7 linked regions of the Ovis aries genome follow. The protein of the gene in region 2 purifies or fractionates together with the protein of the main gene of each other region. This does not show direct contact. Links are inferred from orthologs where the notes say so. Each region holds a gene or a part of one and is shown on either strand. Other genes may lie near its edges.

Region 1 (4,289 bases), on a different chromosome or scaffold from region 2:
CCCCTGGCATAACGAGCTGAGTGGACTGGAGGGTCTGGAGAGTGGGATGGGGTCTGGGTGGTCCTGGGGTGAGTGGAAACTGCATTGGTCTCACCCACACCCTTCAGGGTATTTTGGAAATCTCTGGGGATCGAAGCTGTGTCCTGGAATTCTGGGTGTGATGCAGTTTTGCAGGCTGGGCTTGAGGACTTCAGGAAGGAAAAGAGAGGGCCCCACCCTCCCGGCAGGCCCAGAGGGCCTAAAAAACTGCCTCGGTTTGCCCAGTGCCTGCAGAACCCCCAGGCTTATTAGATGACATCTTGATTTAGCCAGTTCTTGGTCTCATCCCTGCCCAGTGGTTGCCTGGCTGAGATCTTGAGTGGAGCCTGGAAGTGGCCCTGGCAGGCTGGGAAGCCCTTGACTGGTAAGGGGAGGGTGCGCTGGACCGGTGGCCACTTGTGGCTGGAGGTTGGTGGTAATTTGGTAATTATCAGTCTTTGGTAATTAAGTAGTTGGGAACACAGGACAAAGTCCAGTGTTACAATGTCAGCCTTGGCCTGAAAATTTGCATTTTTCCTTAAACATGCTTAACTTTAAGCCACTTGAAATGATGCAGAAGCGATTCTTTTTTTCTGAGCCGTGTCATGTGAGGAGAAGCACCCTTCTAGAAAAACAGCCACTCGGCCCAGCCCTCGGAAGGGACCGAGTGCCGGGGAGACACGGATACCTTTTCCCCGTGGTCTGGGCGCTCAGTGTTCATCACAGCCAGGCTCTGACCTGGGCTCGTTTTTACCACACCGTCTACCCAGCAGTTCTATTTATATCAGCACATCCGAGCGGGGACTGCCATTCCTCAAGGATATTAACGCTATTGGAAAGGTCTTAATTCCAAGCCCGAAAGGGATCATCAGCACTACATGCCAGGGGACTCAAGTTTCAGCAACTGGCTGTCTAAACACATTTCAGATGGTGATTTTTAAGATGCATGCCAAACGTGTGATCTTTTGTTTCCTCCAATGATTTGTAATATACATTTTAAGACTGGAAACTTTTTTGTACAACATCCAATAAAACATTTTGGTTTTAAATTCTGCCCGTGAGTTATTACTCCCACGCCAGGCTGCCGTAGTAGTAGCCTAAGCCACTTAGTTAAGCGGATGTCTTAGGACCCCCATCTGACCTCGGACCGCTAGTTTTCTGCGTTCCCCCATCTGATGCACCGACACCCCGCAGCGCTCTTGGTTCCCTAATACAGCCTGGAGCTACCAGGTCTGCAAAGCGCAGGGTAAACGCGCCCATCGTCCAGTGTGCACGCCCTGCGGGACCTTTGGGGGTGGAGCCTAAGCGCGGAGGTGCGGGCCTTTCAACCCCGGAGTTCGACACGGGAATCCGACTTCGGCCCGTTCCTCTCTGCGCGTGCGCGGGATGTTTCGCGCAGCCTTATGGGAGTTGTAGTCCGGCTCCTGCTCCCACCCACTGGAACTCCATTTCCCGTGGGGCCCTGGGGCAGCGGACTTCCGGCGTGAGTGCGGGTCGGCGCACGCGGCGGCGGTCCGGTTGACTTTGCGGAGCCATGGAGGGCGGCTTCGGCTCCGATTTCGGGGGCTCCAGCGGCGGGAAGCTGGACCCAGGGCTCATCATGGAGCAGGTGAAAGTGCAGATCGCCGTGGCCAACGCGCAGGAGCTGCTACAGGTCCGGGGCTGGCCGGGGGCGGGGTGGGGGACTAAGGGCTGCGAGATCCGCCGGGGCCGGTGTCGCAACTGAGGGCTCGCGTGTCCCCACAGAGGATGACGGACAAGTGCTTCCGGAAGTGTATCGGGAAGCCGGGGGGTTCCCTGGACAATTCGGAGCAGGTAAAACCAGGGGTGGCGGGGTCACGGGCTGGACCCGGTGGGGTGGCCTCCGCGCGTGCGCTGACTTAATAAAGAGGCGTGGAGAGTATGCTGCGCGTGCGCAGTCCGCTACCGGGGCGGGGGCACCAGCAGCTGTCCAGACCTAAGCGGCTCGCCCATTCCTTCCCCAGAAGTGCATCGCCATGTGCATGGACCGCTACATGGACGCCTGGAACACCGTGTCACGTGCCTACAACTCGCGGCTGCAGCGGGAAAGAGCCAACATGTGACCGCGACGCGCCAGCAGACCAACCCCCCAACCCTTGCCCTACCCCCGGACCTATTTCCATAAACGCTGTTTGTGAGGCGGGGTCCTGCATGTGCGTACTGCCTACCAGAAGTTTATGAGGACGACATTGGTGCTGGGACCGTTGGGATTCTACCCGTCCTTTCCGCCTAGCCTCCCACCTGCTAGCCGGTGTAGCTTGGGTTTTGGTAGGGGCGGCCTTGGCTCCGGTGCCACCTCCCTTTGTGCGCCTGTTAACGGATTAAGTCGTATGGACCGTGATGGGGCCTCAACCCGGCTTACACTGTCTGCCTGGGAGGAGGGTGCTGGTTGACACATCACAAGCTTTATTCAGCGGCCAGAGAATGGAGAAGCTTGAACTAGTTCAGGGCTGAACTTGACAACCCCCTGGCGAGAGGGATTTAATTTTAAAGGGAGGAGTGAGGTCAGTGATGGGGAGCCATGTTTATTAGTTTACCTGGGAAGGGGCAGGGCTTTTTTGAGGAAGTGGGGGACCACCTCCTTTTTATCCTGTTTTGGTCTTTTAATGTATGGTACTGGCTGCTGGGAGGTGTGTTGTTTAATATGTTCATACAGTAAAATCAACATGTAATGAGATGCAGGGGCTGTTGGAGTTTGGATTGCTGCCAACTTGGTCTCAGCTGGTTCCACTTGTTTTTTTCTGTGTGTGTGTGTGTAGAGGGAGCACTTCCTTTTTTATCTCTGGACCCTTGAACTTAAAGGTTTATGTTAACTCTTGCTAAACGTGGGGAGGGGCTGTGGTTGGCAGGTTTTGAGCAAATTCCTGGCTTTCCCCTGGCGACAAAGCCTCCCCTTTTCTTGTTACTGCTCCTCATTCTTGAGGGGCACTGGAGGACAAATGGTCTGACTTCTGAAGCTGAGGCTGTTTTTTGCTGAACACATGGGTGTGGTTGTTCCCTAGTTGAGGGGGGCAGAACTGTTCCCTGATGAGCCTAAAATATGTGTGATGGTCACCAGGCTGCAGTCCCATGTACTTGCATCCTTGCATTCGAATCGTCCTGAAGTTTGATGACTTAAAGCTGTTCACTAACGGAAGTTGAGGAGGCAATTAAAGAGGCCCGCCCAGAGATGAGCAGACAGATGATAGCAGTTAGTGGGTAGAGAAATGGAAGAAGCCAAGCTAAGCCAAGGAGGCCTCTGTTTGACCAAATGGAGCTTGGATTGGATTTTGGAGTGTGTTATATCTGTGTAACCACTGAGCTTGCTCATACCTGTGTTTTGTATTTACCTTGATCTGACCGGAATTATTGACACCCATGTAGCAGGTCTTAACTGTGCAGACTTCCCCTTCCTCAGGTAGGAGATAATCAAGGGGCAGCCTGTTGTCGAGAATATTTGCTACTAAATCCACAAGCTTTGAGGCATGGTTTTAAAAAAAGGGGGTAATTTAAGGTCTGTGGCAGGTTCACTAGTATATTGAGTGGGTGGCTCAATAACTTCTTTCTCAGGTGTAGATGATGTCACTTTGGTATGGTGGCCCGTGGAGTCATGCCCTATAATCATCAGAGTGGGTGGTCGAGATTACTTGGAAAGGTCCTGCCCACCTAGGGTCTGGGCTTCCCAGGTGGTTCAGTGGTAAAAGGATCCTCCTGGCAATGCAGGAGATGCAGGTTTGATCCCTGGGTCAAGGAGTTCCCCTGGATGAGGAAATGGCTACTCACTCCAGAATTCTTGCCTGGAAAATCACACAGACAGAGGAGTCTGGCAGGCTACAGCAGCGCCTGGGGGGGGTCTAACTGGTCTTCTGGATTTCCAGCTTCCCAGGTTCTCAAACCCAACCCCCAGGGAGGACAGGATGTGAAGTGATGTCCAGGCAGGCAGTTCCAATCCCGTAGGTGTGTACAGCTCTGACTCTCCCCTCTTAAGGCATGTTTCAGTGCGTCCATCTCCCTGAGGTGGGTTTTGGAGCTGGGGGGGCATCCCTCACATGCCCCCATGTGGACCCCACCTGTGTGACCCTCGGGGGCTGTCCACGTTCTCACAAGTGCTCTAGGGGACGGAGAGCCAGGGCAGGTGAGTGTCTGGACATCGTTTGTCTGAGTTTCTTTTGAGGGTTTGATTTGTTTTACTTTTCCCGACAATTGTGGTCTCCAAGTGGCATGAAAAGCCCACTTAATTCCTAGAGCACTAAAGACTTCCATAGAAATTT
Region 2 (3,801 bases):
TAAGAACAGTTCATTTGAGCATGTCTGGCTGGAACGTAGAGTTCTAGGAGCCTCCTGTTGCTCTGCCCTGATCTGGGCTAGAGTGGCTTTGGCCAAGTCCAGCCAGCTGTTGTTACCAAGCCCCTGCTCTGTGCCAGATGCTAGGCCCGGGCTGGGGACAGAGGTGTGGGGTCCACACACCTGACCTGAAGGAGCTCGGATTGTAACGGGGGTGGACACTTACATGGTGGAAAGGTGGTAGAAGCAGCCATCAGCCGGGCACGTGGGCAAAGTCAGCCAGGATGAGTGTTGAGGAAATCAGCACAAGGACCAAGAGGAGACTGTCTCCATGACGATGAGGAAATAAAGGACCAAACTATCTGCCTCTCACATATGATTGTTCCTGAGATCTTTAAAAGAGCTTGTAGAATTGCTTTTATTCCCTTATATTTACTGGTGAAAGAAAATGAATATGAATACTAAAGAAAACAAGAGGGAGTGTTCCAAGAAGGAAAGAGAGACCCCTGGTATAAAGCGTGCGGGCAGTTAAGCAGAGGGAAATGGCCTGTGGATTTGGCAGTTAGGTGATTGCTGACCATTCTTCCACCTGGGCATGCATGCTCTTGAACTTCAGTAAAAAATGTCCAGGATGTAAAAGCTAATACCCCTGGAAAACGGCCTTCAGCAAGGTATGGAGCTGGCAGCTCTGGAGTGAGGCTTACCCCCGCCTGAGACCCCAGCTCTGCCCCTTCATATCCCGTGACCTTGAGCAGGTCACCGGTCTGATCTTCAGCTTCTTTGTCTATAAAATGAGATGATATCACCTCCGAGTCTATTGTAAGATGCAAACGATGAATAAAGTTCTGAGCACAGTCCCTGGAATCTGTTAAGTGGGCATTAAATATTAGTTCTCATTAACATACTCATCAGAGTCCAGCCCTCACTGTACAGATGAGGACACTGAAGTCCAGAGAGAAAAAGGTGGCCAGATGGGCAGCTGGCCTGGATTAGAAGGGCAACCTTTCTCCCTTGAGAGCATCCTTTCAACCTGCTCTCCCTGGAGCTGCCCCAGACTTCTAACACACCTTGTATTTTGAAGTGTCCCTTCCAACTCCCTTTGATCAAAGTGGTTGGGAAGGGTTTTAATATCACTGGGGTACTCTGAAAGACTTACGAATTTCTTCAGAATTAAAGCCTAAGCTTCCAGACTTCCTTGGTTCACAGCCCTTCATGTCATTTTTTCAAGGTGCCCCAGACTAAAGCAAGTTTCATCTGTTAAATAATTGGGTCAAGTAATAAGTCTTTATCCTAACAATCTAGTAACCCTTTGCATAACAACACACATAAATGGAAAGATAAATTTCCTTCTTAAACAACCATAATTACTAACGGAATGTATATCCTGTTGGGCACGCACAACTTCTCCACCTTTGAGATCACTGGACACCATCCCTTCACATCCTGCTCCACACTATCCCCCTAAAGAACCTTTTTGTCACAGCAGCCTCCAAAAACCTACCTTCATAAAGATACATCCTCAAAAGAATGCAGTGCAGCCATGGAAACTGAACTATCTCAGGCTAGTAGTCTAGGTGGTGTTCCCAGATGTCACCATCACTGTTCCCCTTGTGAGCTCTCTGTGGTGCGCGCTTCACCTCACAGTTTGGGAGCAATAGGGTGAAAGACATTTGCTAATACAAGTCCTGTCGACAAATTAGTTCCAATTCAGGTTCAGAGCTGGAAACACTGACAGAGAGTCAAAGTTCGTGCAAGATGATCAACCAGATATTCTGCAAGTAATCAGAAGAGAGACATTTTCCACTGATAGGCAAAAGTCCAAAAGCCGCACAAGTCAGCAGGTCTCCGAAGAAGACTGCCAGACCCTGACCGACTGCTTCCTGGCTAGTGTTGTTACCACTCCCGCCCCCTGGTGGCACTTCTCGGGGATAACAGGCAAGCCAACTGCAGCCGGAAGGAAAAACAAGTCTCTATTATAGGAAGTATAAGCATTTATTAAGCGGCTCTCATTTGAGCTGGAGGGAGGAGGCAGGAGCTACCATACCTGAGCACCCACTGAGGCCTAGTGCTGGTTATCACCCCTCCAAACCGCTGCCCTACACAGGAGCAGAGGCCACTGCCCCCACCATTCACACATGGCTTAGAGGAAGTGATCCACCTTTGGAAACTGCCAAGCCAGGGTCTCAGCCCGGGTTGCTTGTATCCAAGGCCTATTTCTTTCCTCCATGCCACGCTGGTCCCTGCAGAGGAGTGGGTGGTCCCCAGCCTGCCAGTCCATTGCAGGCGGGGCCTGGGCCAAGCCCCTCCCCGTAGGAGAATCCTCTCCTATGCCCAGATCCCGGGGAAACAGCTGCAAACAGAATAAACAAGCACTGTTGCATCTACATGGACATTTTAGCCCTCAGGGGGAAAGGCAAACAATTATCAGCGAATACTAAGTGCTGAGAAGGATGCTGAGGATCCAGAGGCACTGACAGAGCCAGAATCTTGGCTGTCCCAGCTCTGGCTACAGAAGCATCTTAAGACGTGGATGTTGATAAACAAAAGGTCCCATAACCTAGAAACTGTCCGGACATTTGAGCTGGGGGGAAGGAAAGTTCTGTGTTCAGCAGATCTGAGGGTGAGCAGCATGCCAGGGGCCTGGATAAGGACTGTCGTTTTTGTGTGACTGTTTCCATAAACATCAGCACTGTAGAACTTTAGTCAAGTGCTAGGCATTGACCCTGACCGCCCCAGGGTTCACGCTTTAGTTTCTAAGTGTCCAGCAGGCCCTTCAGGGCCCTGCCTGGCCTCAGAATCATCACCAGGCCCATCCATGGTCTCCATGTAGGGAGCTCCAAGGGTCCAAATAGGAACCCAGGGAACCAACCCCGGACCTTCAGCTTGACTCCCACCCACCTCTGGGCCCTTCTAGGTGCGAGTCGAAGTATTTCGGGCCGAGGAGTTGATGGCATGTGCAGGATTGACCTCCCCCAGAATCGTCCCTTTGTATGGAGCTGTGAAGGAAGGGCCTTGGGTCAACATCTTCATGGAACTGCTGGAAGGTAAGGAGCCAGGGGCCACTCTTACTCCCTCCAGAGTCAGAGCCAAGAGTTTCTCCAAGTCTTGCCCAGGTTAACCTTGGTCCCCAGTCAATCCAGTTTTAAACCCTTGACCTCATGACATCAGCAAGAAAGGCCTGCTTTCTACCACCTGCCGTTTGAAGTCTCTTGCCCTTGGCTGACTTGGAGGCCTGGAAGAGCTCCATGTAAAGACCAGCCATTGATCTCCTAGGTGGTTCGCTAGGCCAGCTTATAAAGCAGAAAGGCTGTCTGCCAGAGGACCGGGCCCTTTACTACCTGGGCCAGGCGCTGGAAGGGCTGGAATACCTCCATACCCGCAGGATTCTACACGGAGATGTGAAAGGTGAGGCCCAGGGCACCCGTGGCCCTGGTCCCTGTTGGGCTCCTACCTCGCCCCATCATGCCTGCTTCCTCCCAGATCTTCTGTGCCTGCATCAAGGTGGGTGGGCTGAGGAAAGGAGAATGTGTTCTCCCAGCCCTCAGCCTGGCACTGTGACTTCCAGTGGCTGATGCCCACAGGGAACACTAATCAAGCTCCTGCTTACTGGTGACCATGGGAGGGGAGGGTAGCAAGGCTGAGTGGCCATATCCCCTCACCCTCTGAGAGCCTGCCTGCTGCCTGCCTCCAGCCTGAACTGATCCCCGCCTCCCCCCTCCCTCCATGACTAATGAAACTAATCAGAAGCTGCAGCTGCCACGTAGGGTCAGCCAGAAAACTGCCCCGCCGGAGGTTTAAATTGGG
Region 3 (4,368 bases), on a different chromosome or scaffold from region 2:
AGGGCCCGATCTCGACCTTGTCTGTCTACCCTCACGGTCCCCAAAGACACACACTTGACCCTTCTTGAAACCCCATCTCTTTGCCCCGACTTCCAAGGCCTCCCGAGGAGCTGAGACCAGCCCCATTGTCCAGCCAGTGGAACTGCCACTTTGCTGTGATGAGAAAGGCCAGAGACTAGAAGCAAAGGCAGAAACAGAGCGTGCTGACCATACATGTTGGGAGGGGGTGGAACACGAGAGGGTGGGTGGGTCCTTGGAGAGCCATGACCGGCCCCCCCAACTAAAAGCACTTTCTCCATGTGCCACGTGGAAATAAGATCAACCCAGTGGCAAGACATGAGAAACGGCTGGAACGCTGTCTACGTTTCATCTCAAAGGGAAACTCTTCATCCTGGACGGGACCAAGAATCCGCTCCCCAGGATTACGAGCATCTCTGGTGGTGACTTACTGTATAAACCTGAAGCGAGAGTTCTGCCAAGCGAGTGAGCTCTTGACAGGGCAGGCATGGTCTCTCTGTCCCTTCCACACCCCTCTCCCCTCAGCTCTAGAGGAATTCAGCTCTTCATTCATGTATCATAACAAGCTACCGCCCTTTGCAGAACGTGTTTCTTGCCAGTTGTGTGATTCTGGTCAAAACTTGGAAAAAGAGCCAGAATGCAGGGCAGGGGGCTTTGCGCGCGAGGAGGGCTGTGCTGCTGGGAAGGAAGGGAAGGCTGCCCGAAACTCTCCCCTGACCGTCTTATCACCCCAAGACTGTAGGATGCCCAGGAGGGGCACACAGGGGGCAGCTTAGCCCCCACCCTGGCCCCAGCCTCATCCCTCGAGGCACCAGAAAGCTTAACACCTCGGAGTTGGTCCAAGAAATAGGTTGACAGAGAAAGTTACTCAGGATTATTTTTCCTCCTTCCCCCATCCCCATCCCAGCCTGTCCCAAGACATTCCAGCAGAGGGTCCCCAGCCTTAGTAAATTGCCTATGACCCTAGATCCTCAACTCCGATTAAACCACCTCAGTGAGAGCATCCAAGTGTGTTCTGTGGCCTGGGCCAAGTGTCTCCTCCTCTCTCAACCCCACAGTCTCCACTTGGCAATGGAAGTCTTTGGAGCACCAAGGGGCCCCAGGGTTCTGCTGAGCTGATTTGGTGACTCCTCCCTGCCTTCACGTGTGGTGGCCTTGGCATTGGGCAACATTGTTTCTTTGCAACCCGAGTAGTTCCCCTTTGCTCTTCTCTGTTCCAAGAGCAATCAGCAGAGGCTTCTAGGGCAGAAAGAGGAAGTGCCAGCTGCAGCCAGCAGGGCGGGGGGTGGGGGAGTACCAGGGCCTCTGAAGTAGAGCCTGTTTTTTCTGTTGTTTTGTTTCTCCCCTTCCTGCTGGGATATGTGGGAGGCAGGCAGGCGGCACAAACCTGTTACTCTGGGAGACCAAGGAGTTCACAGCACAGCAGGCACCTGCCCTGAGGCCCCCCCACCCCCCCACTGTGGGAGCCGTGCCTGGGGGCTGGGCCTGAAGGTGAGTGCATGTGACAGCAAACACTGCCAGGCCTTCACACCCCAGGCCTTGGGAGGCGCCAAGGTCCGCAGAGCCAGGGCCTCGGAGCGGAGCCTGCGACTCCAAAAAGGATGAGCTGTCTTCCGCCCCTCTCCTCCCTGCCGGCTTTGCCCAACCCCGCACCCACGCGCCCAGGTTCCGCCCCGTCCGAAGGCCAGCCTGAGGAGTTACCTGATGGCCTTGTAGCTGCAGCCGCTCCCTACTCCCTCCTCCAGACTCCCACCCTCAGTAGGAGGGCAGTGGACGTACTTACAGGACCTGGTCTGGAGGCCTCTGGAACCCAGGAACCCCGTTTCTCCTTCCAGACCAGTGTTGAGAGAGGAACCCTGGGCCTGCCAGGCTGGAGCCACTCTAACCCCCAATGGAAACAGAGCGATTGAGATGAGAGAAAGATCAGGCCGAGGAGCCCCCTCGGGCAGAAGTGGCTCAGTGCAGGTTCTGCAGGGCGGTCTTTGCCTTTGGGCCTCAGTTTCCCCATCTGGGCCATGGGCTCGATGAGTGCTCCAGGGCCCAGCCCAGAGACGGGGTCCTGCCAGGGCTGAGCTGGAGGACCCGGGCCCTCTCTCCTCAGGGGGTGCTTCTGGGCCGCCTCACCTCCTGGGGCGATAAGATTCCTGCTGTGTCACGGTGACTCTGGCGCTCCCCCAAAGGGCTGATGAGTCATGAGCCCCGCGGCCCAGGAGGGAGGCCAGGCAGATCTTGCCTCGAGGGGGATAGAGCCCACCCCTGCCCGGCCTCCCAACTTCTACTGTCACGTGCTCCACCCTAACACCCTTCGAGACCAAGGGCTCATCAAACTGGAGACTTGAGATAAGATCAGGGTGCTGGCAGGCCAGATGCAGGTGGCTGGAAATCTGCAGCAGGCCCTGCTCCTGCTGCTAAGTCACCACGTGGCCCCAGACTCCTCCAGACCCCACGAGCACTGTGCTCTCAGCCCATGTTACCTCCAGCAGTGCAACCAGGCCCAGGCTGCTGGGTAGGGGGGCCTCCTAGGCCTCTGTGCCCCCACCCCCGTCTGGGTCCTACCTCACTCCTCCCTTGGGTGAGTGACTCAGGCCGCTGGTGGCAGGGCTGAGCTGAACAAGGCGAGCAGGTTCCACCCCTTGCTAATCCCAAATGGACCGGTGAGGGCAGTCGGGTGTAGGGCACCGTGACTCAGCAGACAGGACACTAACCCACTGGAATTTGACCGGAAGCAAACATTCCTCTGGGCCAGGAGGTGCCCGCCGACAGGGGACTGATGGCTTCTCCTGCTGGAGCCCCGCAACAGGAGGGGTCAGCGGAAAGCGGGCACTGCTGGGCACTGGGAGGAGAGGGGCCACAGGGGTTGCAGCTGGGCTCCAGGGAGACCCCAGCCAGGGATCAGTGACTGACCTTGAGGCGCTGTTATCTCCAGGCTTCCCAGGGAAGGTGGCCGGCAGGAGGGGGCCCTGCTCCAGAGCCTTCAGCAATCAGTTCTAAGTGGCTGGCAGACAGGGGGCGGGGGCTGCAACACAGGGCACCCTGGTTTGGGAACCACCCACTGGAGCACTCCAGGTTCCGCTAGAGCCCGGAGGTGGCGGAGAGACACTGGCCCGTGTGGGCTGGGCACTAGCCAAGACCTGGGCCGGAGCAGACTTGTCCACGTGCAGATGTTGGCTCAGCCCAGGAGACAGAGGGTGAAGCCACAAATGGGGATTGAGCATGCTAGCCTCAAAAGTGGCCCCCATCGCCCCCAGCCAGGGGAGGACTCACCCACCTGGTAGCTCCCCAACTACCGTCCTCATGGCCCGTCTAGGGGTGCAGATTGCAATCGGTTCTGGTCCTGCGGCTCCTCTCTGCAACAGTCCACAGATGTGACTGCGTCCAGTGCTGACATGACTCTTAAAGGGTCATTTTGCCCTGAAGACTCAGGTCCTCACCCCTGGAGGTGATTTTCCTGCCCGGGGCGAGTCTAGCAGCTCTGCCCAGCAGCCCTCACTGATGACAGGGCAGGGGGCATAAAAGGGCACCTGCTCTTCACCCAGGCCATGCCCAGGCTCACCACCTCTTCCACCCAGAGTGGAGAATTCCTTTGTCAGGTCACCAAAAGCAAGCAGGTAGCCGTGGCTATGGCAGCTAAACCGGCCTGGAGAGAAGGGACTGGGTGACTTCGTGGGATGACAATGTTGTTGCTCACAGTTGCTGTCTTCACACACTTGCCATTATCTTGGAAAGTTTCACATGGTCAACAGCAAGCACCGCCCGCCGTCTGCTCAGTTGTTCTTTTCAGTCTTTTTATTTGTAGGCAACATTCGTACACATCGAAAGACATCTTCTCTGTCCAATCGGTTCTGACCTTTATAACCAGAGGCAACGTTTCCAACTCCCCAGCCAGTCCACCTCCTGCTGTGGACTCTCACTTCTGTCACTGTGGCTGCTTTGCCTTTTCTAAAGCTTCCCTTAAATGAACTCAGGGTGTTGAGCCTTGTGTGTCCAGCATTCTGGTTCTGAGAATTGCTTGTGTTGAGTAGGCCACTGGCTCATCCCTTTTTTCTTGGTTTGTAATCTTTGTTCTTGCCCCCTGCGTGGCTTGCAGGATCTTAGTTCCCCTACCAGGGATCAAACCCGCAAACCCCTGTGGTGGAGTCCTAACTACTGGACCACCAGGGAATCCCCCTGGCTCATCCCTTGGTGTTGCTGAGTAGGTGTCCCACTGTGTAGATATCCAGCTTGTCCATCCCCTGTTGATGGCCTTTCACTGTGTCCCAGCTCAGGGCTGTTGGGAATTATGGCTGCTGTGAACCCTGGTGCAAGTGTTTCCTCCACACCACCTCCAACACCAGATGGGGTTAGTTTTTT
Region 4 (3,048 bases), on a different chromosome or scaffold from region 2:
CGCGGTGTCCGGGGCAGGGCAGGGCTAGGGCATGGGCCTCAGGAGCCTTAGGCTAAGGGCCCCTCTGAGACCCCTTTTTTGTGATAATGTTTTGCACTTTTTCGTACAGGGGATGGGGGTGGGAGGGGCCAGGCCCCCTGGACTCTTGATGCTCCTTTTTTTTTTTTTTTTTTTTTGTGGGGGAGACCTGACGTTTCTGCTTTCTGCTGAGACCACCCCCACCCCTGACACCAGCAGTCCCCCTCCATCCTGGGGCCTGGCTCAGACACAAGCCAGGAGTTGGGGTTGAGCTGGTTTCCCTCCTTTTGCCCTGAGGGCTCACCCTCTCCCTTGCCAGAGGAGGAGGATGGATGTCCAAGCTGAGGCCCCGTGCACAGGCCAGGCAGTGCAGCCTTGCTTCCCTCCTTCAGTGGGCCCTGCCCTTTGTGTCACCTCCACCTCCATTAAAACTGCTCTCGACTTGCTGGCTGGGCCTCCTCCTCTCTCCCGTGCCTGGCCTGAGGCCAGGGTAGGCATTTGCTTCCCGAGGACAAGCGTCACACACATCAGGGGCTGCTGTAAGTTGGGGAGGAGGCCAGGCCCCCTCCCTTTCCCATGAGAATCTTTTATTTGCCCCAACTGAAGGGTGGGCATGGGGTGTTAAATAAGAACTGGAACAGGCAGGGTCACTGTACAGAGGGGGCCCGGAAGGGGCTGGTGGGTAGGGAGCGGTTCAGTGCACCTGAGGCTGGGGGCGCCCGTGGCAGAGCCCTCCTGGCGGCTCAGGGGGTGGGCCCAGCTTCTCTGTTTCCTGTTCCACCGACTGGCTCCCATAGGCACTGTCCTCCTTCACCTCTGCTGGGGGAGTGGACGCGGGAAAGGGTGCAGGGAAGCGTCAGGCCTTAGGCCTCCCACCCTCCAAGCCCAGATCCACCTCTCAGTTACGGCCCCTTTACCTGTGCTGGGCAGCTTTTCCTGGGTCTCTGGACCCTTCAGCAGCCTCACCCCCTCCTCCAGGCCCATGTCAGACAGGGCATTCAGCAGGCCTGCCAAGTCGCCACCAGCCAGCTGAGGAGAAGGAGGAGGCATGAACCAGGAGTTGTGGTTAGGGTGTGGGATCCCTGAGGAAGCGCCAGAGATCTGAGACTGGGGCATGGAGCATGGGCCGGGGCCTGACTGACCTGGTAACTGCGCAGGAGGCTGCCACTGGGCGAGGCTGTCCTTCGATACGTGTCCACCAGACTGCGCAGCCCCAGCCGTTCTGCCAGCTCCGCCCAGCTGCCCTGGGCTCCTGGCCCGTCAAGCAAATGCTCCAGGTTCTGTAGGACTGTATCTTCAAGGGGTATCTCTGGCCCTGAAGGGGACACACACATAAACATGTTAGTTACCCCCAGAGATGGCAAAGACAAGACACCCAAATGTCACCTTTATCTCAAGGCAACCTGATAGATAGTGCAGGCGGGGCCACTGGGGCAGTGGATGGAGGATGGGGATGGAGAAAGGGAGACCTCCTTCAGTGGTCCCGAAGGATAAGAGACCGCTGTGAGCAGGGGTCAAGGGTCTGGCAGTGGTGGGGGAGAGCTCTTCACCTGCAGGGCTGGGCGGGGTCAGCGGCGGCGCCATGGTGTCCTGAGCAGCGTTTAGCAGCAAGGTCTTCACCTAGGGAGACAGCTTCAGCCATGACTACCTCCCATCACAGTACTTGACCCCAGGTACCAGCTACTCAGGACCCCATGTACAAGCCCGGATGCCCCATCCCCTGGTACTGCTAGTCCTGGGCTGGCCTCACCTTGCTACTGCGAGTGAGGTCAAGAGGTGTGTGGCCCCGGAAGCTGCCTCGAGTGTCCCTCTCAGGGCTCTCAGAATCTGAGTCACTACCAGAGGTGGGAGGCGAAGGCAGTGGGCACAGGGGCTCCTCGTTCTCTGCGTGGACGTCAGCACCTGGGGGAGGGAGATAGTCACAGGGAGGCTCCCTCGGAGCCCACGTTAAGGACTGCAAAGTGCGGGATTGGGAGGTACCCCCTTTCCCCCGTCAGCCCTGTTCATAAGCCCCCGAGGGTGGGACTGACCAGCCTTCAGAAGGAGGCGGGTGAGGGTTGGGGATCCCAGTCCAGCTGCCAGATGTAGGGGTGTGTTTCCCGCAAAGGTTCGGGCATTCACGTTGGCCCGGAGCTGTGGGGTGCGAGGGAGGGGTTGATCATAGCACTGACTGATCCACTGGGCCTCCCCCGACACCTTCACCGTCCCCAGCCCTTGGCTCTACGTCTTCCACAGTCCTCAGTCCCACCTTGGTAACGAGATGGGTGACCAACCCCAGCTCCTCCATCTCTGTGGCTAGATGCAGGGCTGTCCGGCCCCCCTGACGCTCTGCAGCCTCCACTTCAGCCCCATTCTCCACCAGCAGATCGAGGCACTCGGGGCTTCGGGCACGGACTGCCAGGTGGACTGGGTATAGCCCTAGTGATACAGGGTATTCAGCCCGCAGCTCTGCCCCTAATGTGAGCCCTTGACCAGCTGACCTCCACACCTCACATCCACTGTAGGCGCTCCCCAGATCCTCTCCCTGGTGCCCACTCTTGCCCGCTGGTTCAGATGAGGTGATGAACTCACCTTCGAAGTCGGGCACATGCAGCAGTTGGGGCATGGCAGGAACCCCACTCCGCAGCAGGGTGCACAGCATGTCGGGGGCGCTGGCACCTGCCCGGAGTGCCAGGTGCACTGCTGAGTCTCCATGCCGATCCAGCAGTGCTGGGTCTGCGCCCACCTGCAGCAGGAAGCTCACCACCTTCGTCTGCCCTGTGATCACTGCCAGGTGCAGGGGCGTCTGGGGAAGGCAGGCAGGGTGAGCCAGGCCTGCTCCTTGCCTCACCTATCTGACTTCCAACCCCTCCCCCTCACCAAGAGACCCCTCACCTGGTGCAAATGATTGGTGATATTAACCACGCCGAGGTGTGGGGCGTGGTAGATGACGTGAGCTATTTGCTCAATGACGGTGGTCTGCCCGTGGATGATGGCCAAGTGCAGCGGCCTAGGGATTGGTGGGTGAGACTCTGGCCTAGGAAGCTCAGC
Region 5 (4,542 bases), on a different chromosome or scaffold from region 2:
CTAAAGTTTCCACAAAGCTTATTATGTTCCAGTGTTGTCTTGCAAGCAGTACACATGTTAAATTCATAAGGTGGCTCTCACAAGCCTATTGGGTGGGTACTATTAAGACTGCCAACTGGGGAAACTGAGGCACACAGCGATCAAAACTCACTTCCGGGGACTTCCCTGGTGGTTCAGTGGCTAAGACTCTGTGCTCTCAATGCAAGGGGCCCCAGTTCGATCTCCGGTCGGGGAACTATTAATAGATTCCACATGCTGCAACTAAAGATCCAGCACACTATAACTAAGACCCTGTGCGGTCAAATTAATTAAAAAAAAAAAAAAAAAAAAACCCTCACTGGATCACAGCAAGTCAGTGATATGCAGAAGGAGCAGGATATGAACCCAGTCGGGCAGGCCTGCGCTCACAAGGGTACCAGGCTACCTTTTGGCTAATCCCCTCTTCCACTCTTGGTATTGCTTACTCTTTCCTCCCAGGCGCCGAGCCAAGTTCTTTCAAGATCTAATCTCATTTCATTTTCACGACAGTCTCATGGAGGCGGAGGGCTCGCTCCCCCAAAGCAGTGATGGTCCTGTGGCAGGGCTGGAGCCCAGGCTGCCAGTCACTGGCAGCTGAACCTCGTGCTGGAGACACCAGGCTCCCTGCCTCCACTCATCTCCACGACAGCCCTGGGTCCTCAGCGGTTGGACAGGGAAAGGTTTTGCGCCAGGAGGGAGTAGGGCGTGGTGAGAGGAGGATGCTGTATGAGAGCGGGCATGGCCTCCCAAACCAGCAGGACCAAACCTGGTGATAGAGATCAACTTCGTGACAAGAATAGGTGTTCCCGAGAATGAGCTTTAAAGCTTTGCGGAGAGCTTCAATATTTCATCATAAAATGTCACATATGGCAAGAGAGAAATACTAGAACTTTCTTTTTCCACTCCAGTGGCTTTCCCACCAGGTACACTAGCCAGGTGAAAGGGTTAGTCGCTTAATCGTATCCGACTCTTTGCAACCCCATGGACTGTAGTCCACCAGGCTTCTCTGTCCATGGGATTCTCCCTCCAGGCAAGAATACTGGAGTGGTCACTATTCCCTACTCCAGGAGATATTCCCCACCCAGGGATTGAAGCTGGGTCTCCTGCACCGCAGGCAGATTCTTTACCATCTGAGCCACCAGGGAAGCCCTAGCCAGGAGGCTGCTGCTTTAAGTAATGGGTTGGACCCAGAACTGGGACTAGATGTAGGCACGGATACTGTGTCTCAGCAGGATGAGGAAGGGCGCTTCTAGGTGTTTCTGGATAAACAACTGCAAGCTGATACATGGGAAGACAGAATGAGGTTTTCCTAACTGGAAAGTTCTAGAAGGTATATTCCATAAGTGTGAGAGCAAAGCAGCCCCTGGAATGTGGGTGTAGGAGCTCTGAGTTGGTGGAGCAAGAAGTTAGCACACAAGGTCTCAGGAGAGCCATTCTGTTGGTCTGTGAGCACAGCTGAGCGGCTGCGGGGGTGGGGGGGGGGGTTGCAGGTTGTCGAAAGAACATACAGACTTGGGATTCTGGGGGTCTGTATTTGGGGGAAAATAGATAAAAGAAGGGGCGGTGAATCTGGAATCAGGATGGGTGGGTTCCTTGTAACAGCAGGGTCATTGTGGATGTCTGAGAATAGCACACCAAGTTTGGGTCAGAAGGGAGATGGGATGGATTTGGGTCCTGGACTTGGGTTTGAATGTGGCATTCTGAAGCTGGCAAAGGTTCCCACTGGAAGTCTGTCTTGGGGGTGGGCGGGGACTGGGTGTGAGGTACCAAGGAGGGGCAGGGGTTCTGGCTGGGCAGGAAGCCACGTGGGTAGGGTTTCCTGATGTAATGGGAAATTGGGTCTAACAGTACCAGAGGCTAAAGAAGAGCCTCCGGAATTGGAGGCTCCATCAGGGTGGAGGTGGTGGTTCATTCTGAACAGGACCCAAGTTTCAAAATTCCAGGCCTAGATGAGACTGAGGGCCTTGGGGGGAGGGGGTACCAATCTTTGTTCTAGGGGAGGGGTCCTGGGTGTGGGTTGGAGTCCCAAGCCAGGAACAGAAATCTCAGGGGAAGACAGAATTATTTTATTCAGAGGAGTAAGACTTCTGGATCTGAACCATAAGGATCCAGAAAAGCAGGTCGCAGAACAGACTTAAACTATTGGGAACTCTAGGGTTTTGGAGGACTTCCAGACGGGGCCAGTGGTAAAGAGCCTGCCTGCCAATGCAGGAGACATAAAAGATCCCTGGATCGAGAAGATCCCATGGAAAAGGAAATGCCAACCGACTCCAGTATTCTTGCCTGGAGAATCGCACGGACAGAGAAGCCTGGCGGGCTACAGTCCATGGGGTCACAGAGTTGGACACGACTGAAGCGACTGAGCACAGGGGTTAGGAGGAGCCATGGAACAGCCAAGATCTTAACTGGGTACCCGACTAGGTTCAGGATCCAGATTCTGAGGTAGAAATCTGGGTGTAAATGGAAGATCCCAAGCAGGATTGGGAGGCACGTCAAAAGCTTGTCTTGGCAGTCTAAATTCTAAAAATATACCGTACAGGTCAACCTGGCGTTTCAAGAAGAAACTGGAAGCGCGGGGCGGTGGGGGTGGGGGGGGGGGGGCGGCGCCGGCATCGCGGGCAAGGAACTCAGGGGTCCCGGCAATTCTATGGCCCCGGAATTGAATCGAAGAACCCTAGGCTATTCGGAAAGTCCAGGCTGTAGGGGGCAATCCCAGGTATCAATGGCTGGGGCCCCCCGGCAGTATCAGGGGGTCAGAACTCTGAAGCGGAGTCCCGGGAGTGGGGGAAGGGGCTGGGCGCGCGAGCTCTACCTGGTGCCGCCAGCGGAAGAGGCTAGCGGTGTCGATGTTGGGGTGCGTCTCGTCTTCATCATCAGACACCTCGATGTGGTCCCACACGCTGTAGTCCACCATCTTGCCTCGGGGCCCAGCCCTCCAGGGTTCTGGTAGCGGTGGCGGCGACGGCGGCGGCGGCAGCGGCAGCACTGAGACACAGCCCGCGGAGCCCCGCCCCTTCCGCTTCCGCCCTGACGCTTACACCCCTCCCTCGCGTGACGTCACATCCTTAGTAACCTCAGCAGCGGCACTGGCGACCAAGTTCTTAAAGAGCCCTGCGCACGTGTTCCGGCTCTCGGGAGTCCGCTGAGACCTCACCCCATCCGGCTTCCGGCCTCCACTAGGCCCTTCCTGGGGAATTACGGGTGGGTTCTCCAACCTCGAGCCCCCCTCATCTCCCGCTACCCCACGGTGGGCGTTTACGGCAGCCTTGGGAGAGGGGGCAGTTGGCGAGACTGAAAAAGAGGATTGTCCTCTTAGCCACGCCACAGTGACGTCAGCCTGAGCCCACTACTGGGGCTCGGCCTCGGCGAAAAGACCTCGCTCCCGTCTTTTGTGAAGAGGGACTTAACTTTGTCCTGGAGATGGTGCCTGATGGGAAAGGACCTTCCCAGTACAAGGGGTACAAGGCCCTGCTCTAGGAGGGTCTAAGTGAAGGAAGGTTGTGGCCCTGCCCTCGAGGAGTCGAGATGGGGGCGATGTGGCCCTGCCTTGAGACCTGGTGTTTCCCTGGCTCGGACCACAGCTTCCCCTCTTGCCTCCCCCATCTTCTGCCACTCCTTAGCGGGGATTCGCGCATACACGCCCCCTCTGGAATCACCCGACCGCACTTAACGGGCCTCATTAGCTTGTCTACGGCGGCTCCCCATGCATCCGCTGGGTGTCGCTAGTGTCTAACTAGCGGCCAGTGCGGGTGCCCCGCGCCAGGTGGGGGAGGGGTGGAAGAGCTTGGAAGTGCGCACGCAGGGGGTCTTTCTCCGTCGAGGTACTCTGGGACTCCTCGCAGTCCCTCCCTCTTTCGTCTGGGATCCCCTTCCTCGTTCCAGACTCTAAGAACTCTATTACACTGAGCTTGGGCGACCGCAGCCACACATTTTCATGTATCCCTACCCACGCTTTGATACCGGGATAAAAGGCTGCGTTGCAGCCTAGGGCCAGGATTATCTCAGATTAAAGGGCGCAGGGCGGGGGACAGGGAGAATGGGTAGAGATTCAGCCACTTGAGTGAAGGGCGCCTCTTCCAGACTCCCCCCAACCAAGCAGGCGTTTGGGGGGGCGCTGGAGAGGAAGGAGTAAAGGTCTTTAAATGGGTGGGGTGTGGGGGATTCCCCGGCCCCGGGAAGGGGTGGGGCCATCCGGACAAAAGCGCCCGCCCGCCGCTGCCCCTCCCCCTCACGGTCCATTCAAACCCGCGAGTAGGCGGGCGGGGGCGGGGGAGTCCCCCTTTCCTCCTCCTCCTCCAACCCTGGCAGTTCAGCATCACAGCGGCCGTCAAGGCCCGGGTACGCGCGCGCACGGACCTACATCCCAGCGGGGCTCCCGATCTCACACTTACACACACACACACACACACACACACACACACCCCGGCAAACAAAGGGTCTGGACACCCCGGTCCCCTCCCGCCCCCCAGGCCGGAGAGGGCGGGGCATCCCCTCCCGAGCCCCCCTGCAAGGTAAGCTTTGGAC
Region 6 (3,801 bases), on a different chromosome or scaffold from region 2:
CAGCCCACACCTCCACGTAGGTGTCCTCCTGGGGGGGCAGGTGGAAGATGCGCCGAGGGTTGTGGTGCAGTCGCTGCAGCACGTCGTCCAGGCTGAGCCGGCCCTCGCTCACTGCCGTCAGCAGCAGGGGCAGCATGGTCTCCAGCCCTGGGAAGCCGGGGGGAGGCCGGGGCCCACACTTCTCCTCCACGGTGTGGGGGGCTGGGGGAGAGAGCACCACCCTCAGGACAGTGGCCTCCATGCTGGGGAGTCACACACGCCACCAAGAAAGGCTTCACTACCAACCCAGACTCTAGCTTTTCCTGGGAATCCGAAAACAGGGAAGCTGGGACTGCTGCCTTCTTCAGGGCCCATACCTTCCACCCAGATTCTCTCATTTACTGTTTCCTCATTTGCTCATTCGTTCTCTCAGTAAATACCTATCAAGCGCCTATGATAGACCAGGAACTTGGCTGGAGTCCCACCCAGACCAAGCCCAGGCCTCATGGAGCCCAAGGTCCTGGCCCAGATCCCCTGGGCCAGGGGGTACGTCCCGGGCCTTCTCACCGTGGTCGGAGGCAAAGCAGTCGATGACGGCCATGTTCTCCCATAGGGCTTCCATGTCCTCCCGGGAGCCAAGCTCGGGCCGAACCTCCCCCTTCCCGGGCCCCAGACGTTCCAGGTCATCACGGCTCAGGAACAGATGGTGGGGTGCCACCTCACAGGTCACCGGCAGCCCCCGTGCCTTTGCCGCTTTAATCAGCAGGATCTGGGGGAGAGTGGGGAGACCTCGAGGTGGGGGTTGTCCCTCGAGGCCCTGACCTGCACAGTCCCCGCAGCCAACCTCCCCTCCTGGAAAGTCACGGGGCAGGCGTGCTGAGCCGCCCCTGCCCCCAAGGACCATCCTGATCACCTGGAGTCACTGGGAAAGCCACAGGGGCGCCCCTGGGGCTCTCACCTCCTCCTTCCGTGCCACGTGACAGATGTGCACAGAGCGCTGGGCCAGCTGGGCCACCATGAGGACGGCTGCGACACTCTGCCGCTCGGCGTGGGCCACGATGGGGAGGTGGGATGGCCATGTCTCGAAGTGCTGGGGAAAGGAGGAAGGTTCCGGGACCCTGCAGCGCCCGAGCCCTTGCAGGGCTCCCAACTCACACTGCCTCCAGCCTGTCATGAGGGGGCCCTCAAACCAGGGGCACTGGCTGGCTGGCCCCACCCCCACCCACCCCCTACCTCCATCCACTGGGCCACACTGTCCAGCCGCAGTTCAGAGAAGGTCTCGTTGAGGTAGAGCTTCAGCCCCGCCGCAGACCCAGCCACGGTGCCCAGGGTCCCTGCATTTTCCGACGAGGCTCCGAGGAATAAGGCATAGTCACAGCGGGCGCCGGCCTCTGCCAGCTGGAAGGAATACATTCGAGATAGGGCCCACCGGCACCTGTGCCAGCCTGGCTCACGTGGCCTGGCCCCTGGGGAGGGGTAGAGGGAGCAGCGTAGAGGGAGGTGGGGGAGGCAGGTGGGGGATGTGGGTCACCAGGAAGCAGGAGAACCGGGGCTCACCTTCTGCGCCAGGGCCAGGGCAGGGGCGTCGGTGATGGGGGGCCGAGTATTAGGCATAGCACACACCATGGTGACGCCCCCAGCCAGGGCAGCAGCTGTGCCCGAGGCAAAGTCCTCCTTGTGTGTCCCCCCTGGTTCCCGCAGGTGCACATGGACGTCGATCAATCCTGGGAGAACACACAGGCAGCAGGTTGGAGGGAGAGTCAGAGACTCAAGGGCATCAAGGTAGGAAAATAAGCAGCGACTGACACCAGTGAGAGGTGGTGAAGCTCTCAGTCAGGGGCATCGTGGATGGAGAATAAAGAGCTCAGAGTGAGTAAGCTTCTGGGCCCTTCCCACTCTGAACAGTCCAGGGCTGAGTGGGCCCCACAGCCGTCCTTCACCACAGCCCCTACTGATGTACAGGAGCCAGGTTCTCTCCCGAGATGCACTTACCAGGCAGCCGCACGAGCTTCTGGGAGGTCATGCAGTCAACATGCGCTTTCAGAGGAGGGGCTGGCCCGATCTGTCCCAGCGCCTGCGGGGGGAAAATCAGGGTCAGCAAAGATCAAAGGGCAGCCTGGGATCTGCAGATGGGGCCTGGGTTTTCCCATAAACCAGGCTTCCTCTCTACATCCATCCTCTCTCTTTGCAGCCACAAAGCTTGATGACTAGCAAGGCCGCTCCATGAAGAGATTTCCCAGCCCCAGAGCATGCTCACTTCTGCCTCCTCCCTTGCTGACACTGGCTGCCCCAGTCCCGGCGCCCAGGGTCTCAGTTACCTCCACAAACAGTTTGGTGCACTTGATGTCAATGATGAGGGGTACGGAGAAGTCAGCGGCCAGGCGCCGCGTGCGGTAGCCCTTGGTGACGAAGGAAGAAAGACGCCGGCCCCCGGCCCCACGCATGGACAGGTTAATCACGAGCTCAAAGTTTTTCTCAGCGAGCTGCTCCAAAATGCTTCGCTGTGGTGGGCACTCTCCATCCACTGCCTCTTCAAAATGCCAGTCCACAGCCGTCACCTGGAGCCCAGAGACAAGACTGGAGCAACCTGAGCCTGGCAGGGGGCCAAGAGGCCAGCGTGAAGGGAGGGGGGAGGTGGCCTAGGAGCCGAGGAAGAAACTGAGGACCCACAGGAGAGGGACCAGGCCACTTCACTTTACTGCAGGCAAAGCATTTTTCTTGACCAGAAAATCTTTACACTATGGTTACCAAGGATTCTGCAGTATGGAGCTCACACAATACACAGAGGAAATCATGGAAGGAAATATGCCAGAATGTTAACAGTGGTGGAAAGATCACGAGGGATTTTTTTTTCTCTGCTTTTCTGTATACTCTACTGTTCTACGTGGAACAGATGATTCGTACAATGACATGGAAAGCAGGGAAACAGGAGAGAATCCGGGTGTTCTTATATCTCAGCGGGCGGGCAGTGGGGGGTCACCCCATACCTTGACGCCATGCTCTGTGTAGAAGTCAGCGGTGCCCAGGCTGGCGTAGAGGCTGTAGCCCAGGCTCTCCAGCAGCCTCACAGTTGGGAGCAACTCACTTTTGTTCTGAAGAAGGGAGGATGAGGTTGTTTCTCCTGTCCTCCACTTCAAGTTAGCCCTGGCCCAGGGAGCAGTGGCCATCTGTACCCACCCCCACCTCTTCAGGGCCCACCCTACCCTCCACCCCCCCACCCCCAACGTGGGTTCTTACCTTATAGCTGCCAATGGTCAGCAAGATGTTCTTCTTGGGGATCTTAAAACCAGTACTGAGCATGGCCTTGAGGTAGGCTTCGCAGCGGCTCTCCCCAAAGCCAGCCACTTCCCCAGTACTGGTCATCTCCACACCCAGCACCACGTCAGCCCCCGCCAGGCGGGAGAACGAGAACTGGGGCACCTGAGGGAGCAGGAAGTGAGAGCGGCCCACATCCCTGCACCAGGAGGGGTGGCAATGATCTCCTCTCTTGGCCTTCTCCAGACAGGGTGAGCCTTCCCCGTGCTGCCCTACATGAACCCGCCAATCATTGGCTACTTCCCAAACAGGCTTGCGCTTCCCTTGGCCTCCACGAGGCTACTCCCTAGCCTTGGAACACTTCCTCAACAAGCTCGGCAAATCTCAAACCTTGACTATATTCCAAGGCTCAGTGCAAACACCACCTTTCTTCTTGAACCTTCCCGGGTCACCCTCTGTGGAAGTGGCACCTCCGTGAGCATTTCACTTCGGTCTCTACTCTGCAATTTTATCACATGCTATCCTAGAAGCAAGCTGTTTGGGAACCTCTAGAAGCAAGCTGTTTGG
Region 7 (4,406 bases), on a different chromosome or scaffold from region 2:
GCAGAGAAGGGCGTCCCTCTGGCACTCCCTAGGCAGGTCCATGGCCTTGAGGCTCCTGGGCCACAGCCGAAGGGGAACGACTTGCTTCTGGCACCTGGATGGGGCCACACTCTGACCAGCGTCCTCATGCTGCCTCCAAGAACTCCTGCCACCCTGCAGGAGTCCTGGGAGACCGGACTCTTCCCAGATCTAGGCAGCTGCAGGAGGAGGGAAGAGGGTGGGGAAAAAAAAGAAAAAGGAAGCCAGACTGAGAAACAACTCGATATTCAAGTCTCTGCGCTCCCTCACCTGTGGGCGGCTGGGGGTTGGGGGTGGGAGCGGTCCGTCGGGTAAGCGACCGCATCCCCAGTGTCTGCTCTCGGAAGGCGGCACCCTCAGAGCCGCCCCACCGGCCGGTGTGCTGTGTGATCGATGGGGGGAGAAGTGGGGTCATCCCCGCTCCACCCCACCCGGACGCAGTGCCCGGCTAGCTGGGTCTGGCGGGTAGGGTAATGGATCCCCTCTGCAGTTTCCTGGAGGAAATGTAATGAAGGTATAGCCTACTTGGACACCAGGATCCCAGCAGTGCGGTTGAGGGGCGGAGCCACCGCGGAGGCACAGCCCAGGCCGCAGAGGGCGGGGCGGGGCCTCAAGGGAAGGGGCGGGGCAGGGCCGCCCCGGCCGGTCTGGAAGCTGCTGGAAGTGTCGCAGCGCCGCCGCCCTGGATCCTTCCGCCGCGTGTGCAGTCAAAGAGTCCCCTGGCCGGCTGGAGCCAGCGCCCGGCCCGCAGCCGGAGCCACGCCTCGCCGCGAAACGCCGGCCCGCCGCGGGAGGGCCTGTATTCCAGGCATGCCCACAAAGTGGGACCTTTAATTCCGCAACGCCCGCGGAAAAGAACCCTTTCCCGTATCAGGCAATTAGAGTATGTGTAGGGCAGCTTCTAATGAGGAGGTCGAGCCTCGGAGCGTAGGGGGGAGTGGGTGACCCCTGTTTAGGCTTGGACCTTAGTCCCGAGGCTGGGACTGTCAGGAGTGGAGATGCCTGCCCTGCAGGTTTTCACAGAGGTCAGTGGGGAATCCTCGCTTCTAGTTCCACCGTTTATGTTATATGATTACTCCCAACATATGTTTCTGATGGTGTCCTGTTTTAGGAACGCGGAGACGGGGCTGTGAACAGGAGTAAATAAGTGTACTTGATCTCAAGGCCGGCGGCTCCCGCCTTTCAAGGTCCCCTCCCCTATTTTGGACCGTGACGTCAAGGTGGGCGGGCGGGCGGCGGCAGGTGCGCGGCAGACAGGCATCCTCCTTTAAGGCGGAGGGATCCGGGGGCGGGCAGCTGGGCGGTGCTTCGCCTTATATAAAGTGATTGGGGGCACACAGCCGTTCTCTCGAGTCACCCCCGCGCAGCCTTCTTGTGGCGAGTGAGCCCGAGGAAGCCATTGCCTGCTCGGTGTTCTCTAATACCTGTGATTGTTATCCTTGAAGGTAAGGCTCCTGTCTCATCTGGGCTTTTCAGATTAGCTTGTTCTTTCGCGTTGCTTTCGGCCCACGCATCCTTTCCGAGACCTACATCTCGTGTTGGGACCGGTTCTGGCGTAACGCTCCCATTGCTTCTCTTGGGGGAGGGCTGGGAGCGAGCTTTTGAGTTTAGACTCTATGTGATTGGCGGCGGGGCTGCTTTCCCGCAGCTATAAAGCGTTGTTTCGTGGGGCCGCAGAATGGGGCGGGGGGGTAGGCACTGCACGTGGTGGCCGCGCCGGCCCGGGACGCTGCCATGTTTGCCTCTCCACTTCCGGACGCGGCTACGGGGCGCCGGAGGGTCCCCGAGCCGGGCGGGTGGGCGCGCCCTCTGTGACTCAGCAAGGCTGGTCATGACCAGGTTTTGCCACTTGTTCTATCGGACACAATTTTTTTAAAGTCCTTTCTTTCGGGGCTTTTCCGTGAGGCTCTGCGAAGAGCTCCGTTTTCGGTCGCCGGCGGCGTATGTCGTGCTTCCTCCATCCTTCCAGATCTTTCCTGCGTCTCGGTGGAGGAGGGGCTGGCGAGCGGAGGGGGCAGGCTTTGGGATTCGTGGGCACGTCCCTTCCCCCGCCCCTCTCCGAGAACTGAGATTGTTCTGGAAGCTTCTGGAGCCCGGCGCCCCGCCCTGGTGCCCGGATGTTGGGGCGAAGGGAGGCTGCGCGGTGGCGCCCCCTCCTCGCGTGGTCGACGCATGTCCAGCCGTGACGAGAGTCGGCCCCGCAGACTAAGGCCACCATCTTAGTGTTTGGTTTGGGCTTGAGCTTCAGTCACGTGTGCAGAGAGGTCACGATGGAGCCCTTTCTTTATCGGTTCTTTGTCTTGATAGCCCACCTGGATGGGCATTCCGCCAATCTCGAGTTAGCTGTCCCTACTACGGGAGGCAGCAGTACCACATTATCTCCTTGGAGTTACCTAATGGGAGGACAGTTTTAAATGATTGCCCTTTAATGTGAAACTAATTACTTTGAAGGTGGAACGATAGTAATTTGCGTATTTAAATATATGGGAATTTACCTCGCTTTCGAGATACCTGGGTTGGAGTGCCTAACTAGATTGTGCTGATCTATGATTCACTTAACAGGAGTTTGGGTTCACAATAACTTGCAAGAAACATTAGCGCAATTTGTTCAGTGTGTTAGGTGCGCCCCTCCCCCCGTTGTTTCTAAGGGTGCTGCCTGAAATTGATAGAGGGAAGGATTTTCCAGTCTTTGTACCCAGCTCAAAACAGTTTGAATAGAGTCTCCTTAAGTGTATTGTGGCTGAGGGTGAACTTGAGGAGTCTTAAATTCTTGCTTTTTATTTTAGATGCCTGAGGAAGTGCACCATGGAGAGGAGGAGGTGGAGACATTTGCCTTCCAGGCAGAAATTGCCCAACTCATGTCTCTTATTATCAACACCTTCTATTCCAACAAGGAAATTTTTCTTCGGGAGTTGATCAGTAATGCTTCTGATGTGAGTGCCCTGAATGTCTTCATTGACGTTGGTTTTTTGTTTCTCAAGTACTCCAAGAGAGGGAAAGTGGGGGTGGTTTGGCATTTTGTGGTGTTAACTGATAAAGGGGGGATATAAACTTAACTGCTGTTCCAAAAAGTATTGCCTTGCTCTCTGTGGATAGATGGGATACTGTAACCCACTGGATGTCGTTCTCAACCTACAAGCTAAAGGAGTAATCAGAATTAGCGTATTTGGGGAGTTTAAAAAACTTTTTGGGTGAGATGGGTTTTGAGGAAGCAGAATTGTAAAACTGCAATTTTGTACTTTCAGGCCTTGGACAAGATTCGCTATGAAAGCCTGACAGACCCTTCTAAATTGGACAGTGGTAAAGAGCTGAAAATTGACATCATCCCGAATCCCCAGGAGCGTACTCTGACTCTGGTAGACACGGGCATTGGCATGACCAAAGCTGATCTTGTAAATAATTTGGGAACCATTGCCAAGTCTGGCACTAAAGCATTTATGGAGGCTCTTCAGGTACGTGGTTGGTTAGGCACACTCCATTTATATTATTGGTGTTTGCTTTGCCATTTCTTTGAAACTTGAGTTTGACTTTTAAACTTTTTGGCAGGCTGGTGCAGACATCTCCATGATTGGGCAGTTTGGTGTGGGCTTCTACTCTGCCTACCTAGTGGCAGAGAAAGTGGTGGTGATCACAAAGCATAATGATGATGAACAGTATGCTTGGGAGTCTTCTGCCGGGGGTTCCTTCACTGTCCGGGCTGACCATGGTAAGTTGGCTTTCCTGTTAAGGTGTCTGGATTAGCATTCTGGGGAAACACTAATGAAGATCTTGAGTATTGTATGTGTAAAGCAGTTATAGTTCTGCGTTTGTTTATTTAGTTTCTTATATTCTGTTCTGATTAATTTTTTTCTAGGTGAGCCTATTGGCCGTGGTACCAAAGTGATTCTCCACCTGAAGGAAGACCAGACAGAATACTTGGAAGAGAGGCGGGTCAAAGAAGTGGTGAAGAAGCACTCTCAGTTCATAGGCTATCCCATCACACTTTATGTGAGTATGGACTGGTAACTCAAGTGCAGGTAACTGCTGCTTGAGAGAATTGCATGGACTTTGGGGTTTTTTTTTTGCTTTTTTGTACTCTGAAACTGTCATCTTTGATACTTCTAGCTGGAGAAAGAACGTGAGAAGGAAATCAGTGATGATGAGGCTGAAGAAGAGAAAGGTGAGAAAGAAGAGGAAGATAAAGATGATGAAGAGAAGCCTAAGATTGAAGATGTGGGCTCAGACGAGGAGGATGATAGTGGCAAGGATAAGAAAAAGAAGACAAAGAAGATAAAGGAGAAGTACATTGATCAGGAAGAACTGAACAAAACCAAGCCCATTTGGACCAGGAACCCTGATGACATCACCCAGGAGGAATATGGAGAGTTCTACAAGAGTCTTACCAATGA

Evidence for each region.
Region 1: the proteins of MAP3K14 (region 2) and TIMM13 purify together in Homo sapiens (affinity purification with mass spectrometry; 3 studies listed by BioGRID and IntAct, with this or other methods). This does not show direct contact. The link is inferred for Ovis aries from reciprocal best matches to the Homo sapiens genes MAP3K14 and TIMM13.
Region 3: the proteins of MAP3K14 (region 2) and IKBKG purify together in Homo sapiens (affinity purification with mass spectrometry; 6 studies listed by BioGRID and IntAct, counting the BioPlex papers as one, with this or other methods). This does not show direct contact. The link is inferred for Ovis aries from reciprocal best matches to the Homo sapiens genes MAP3K14 and IKBKG.
Region 4: the proteins of MAP3K14 (region 2) and NFKB2 purify together in Homo sapiens (affinity purification with mass spectrometry; 6 studies listed by BioGRID and IntAct, with this or other methods). This does not show direct contact. The link is inferred for Ovis aries from reciprocal best matches to the Homo sapiens genes MAP3K14 and NFKB2.
Region 5: the proteins of MAP3K14 (region 2) and CDC37 purify together in Homo sapiens (affinity purification with mass spectrometry; 5 studies listed by BioGRID and IntAct, with this or other methods). This does not show direct contact. The link is inferred for Ovis aries from reciprocal best matches to the Homo sapiens genes MAP3K14 and CDC37.
Region 6: the proteins of MAP3K14 (region 2) and CAD purify together in Homo sapiens (affinity purification with mass spectrometry; 3 studies listed by BioGRID and IntAct, with this or other methods). This does not show direct contact. The link is inferred for Ovis aries from reciprocal best matches to the Homo sapiens genes MAP3K14 and CAD.
Region 7: the proteins of MAP3K14 (region 2) and HSP90AB1 purify together in Homo sapiens (affinity purification with mass spectrometry; 4 studies listed by BioGRID and IntAct, with this or other methods). This does not show direct contact. The link is inferred for Ovis aries from reciprocal best matches to the Homo sapiens genes MAP3K14 and HSP90AB1.

The regions. Positions count from the first base shown.
Region 1 is NC_056058.1:18,947,061-18,951,349, forward strand, and holds the start of TIMM13 (mitochondrial import inner membrane translocase subunit Tim13), read left to right. Parts: upstream 1-1,501; 5' UTR 1,502-1,552; coding exon 1,553-1,672; intron 1,673-1,764; coding exon 1,765-1,833; intron 1,834-2,003; coding exon 2,004-2,102; 3' UTR 2,103-4,289. UniProt on the Homo sapiens protein: Mitochondrial intermembrane chaperone that participates in the import and insertion of some multi-pass transmembrane proteins into the mitochondrial inner membrane.
Region 2 is NC_056064.1:44,656,750-44,660,550, reverse strand, and holds part of MAP3K14 (mitogen-activated protein kinase kinase kinase 14), read left to right. Parts: intron 1-2,911; coding exon 2,912-3,041; intron 3,042-3,270; coding exon 3,271-3,402; intron 3,403-3,801.
Region 3 is NC_056080.1:79,920,140-79,924,507, forward strand, and holds the start of IKBKG (NF-kappa-B essential modulator), read right to left. Parts: upstream 3,016-4,368; 5' UTR 2,923-3,015; intron 2,607-2,922; exon of another isoform or gene 1,802-2,606; intron 1-1,801. UniProt on the Homo sapiens protein: Regulatory subunit of the IKK core complex which phosphorylates inhibitors of NF-kappa-B thus leading to the dissociation of the inhibitor/NF-kappa-B complex and ultimately the degradation of the inhibitor.
Region 4 is NC_056075.1:22,795,492-22,798,539, reverse strand, and holds the end of NFKB2 (nuclear factor NF-kappa-B p100 subunit), read right to left. Parts: intron 3,008-3,048; coding exon 2,893-3,007; intron 2,804-2,892; coding exon 2,590-2,803; intron 2,437-2,589; coding exon 2,267-2,436; intron 2,152-2,266; coding exon 2,049-2,151; intron 1,921-2,048; coding exon 1,769-1,920; intron 1,639-1,768; coding exon 1,569-1,638; intron 1,334-1,568; coding exon 1,161-1,333; intron 1,048-1,160; coding exon 936-1,047; intron 838-935; coding exon 713-837; 3' UTR 554-712; downstream 1-553. UniProt on the Homo sapiens protein: NF-kappa-B is a pleiotropic transcription factor present in almost all cell types and is the endpoint of a series of signal transduction events that are initiated by a vast array of stimuli related to many biological processes such as inflammation, immunity, differentiation, cell growth, tumorigenesis and apoptosis.
Region 5 is NC_056058.1:12,789,484-12,794,025, forward strand, and holds the start of CDC37 (hsp90 co-chaperone Cdc37), read right to left. Parts: upstream 3,028-4,542; 5' UTR 2,933-3,027; coding exon 2,831-2,932; intron 1-2,830. UniProt on the Homo sapiens protein: Co-chaperone that binds to numerous kinases and promotes their interaction with the Hsp90 complex, resulting in stabilization and promotion of their activity. Inhibits HSP90AA1 ATPase activity.
Region 6 is NC_056056.1:34,316,002-34,319,802, reverse strand, and holds part of CAD (CAD protein), read right to left. Parts: intron 3,400-3,801; coding exon 3,217-3,399; intron 3,072-3,216; coding exon 2,967-3,071; intron 2,538-2,966; coding exon 2,298-2,537; intron 2,054-2,297; coding exon 1,972-2,053; intron 1,704-1,971; coding exon 1,537-1,703; intron 1,378-1,536; coding exon 1,213-1,377; intron 1,070-1,212; coding exon 938-1,069; intron 749-937; coding exon 547-748; intron 202-546; coding exon 11-201; intron 1-10. UniProt on the Homo sapiens protein: Multifunctional protein that encodes the first 3 enzymatic activities of the de novo pyrimidine pathway: carbamoylphosphate synthetase (CPSase; EC 6.3.5.5), aspartate transcarbamylase (ATCase; EC 2.1.3.2) and dihydroorotase (DHOase; EC 3.5.2.3).
Region 7 is NC_056073.1:17,733,268-17,737,673, forward strand, and holds the start of HSP90AB1 (heat shock protein HSP 90-beta), read left to right. Parts: upstream 1-1,363; 5' UTR 1,364-1,463; intron 1,464-2,804; coding exon 2,805-2,951; intron 2,952-3,263; coding exon 3,264-3,470; intron 3,471-3,564; coding exon 3,565-3,724; intron 3,725-3,871; coding exon 3,872-4,005; intron 4,006-4,122; coding exon 4,123-4,406. UniProt on the Homo sapiens protein: Molecular chaperone that promotes the maturation, structural maintenance and proper regulation of specific target proteins involved for instance in cell cycle control and signal transduction. Undergoes a functional cycle linked to its ATPase activity.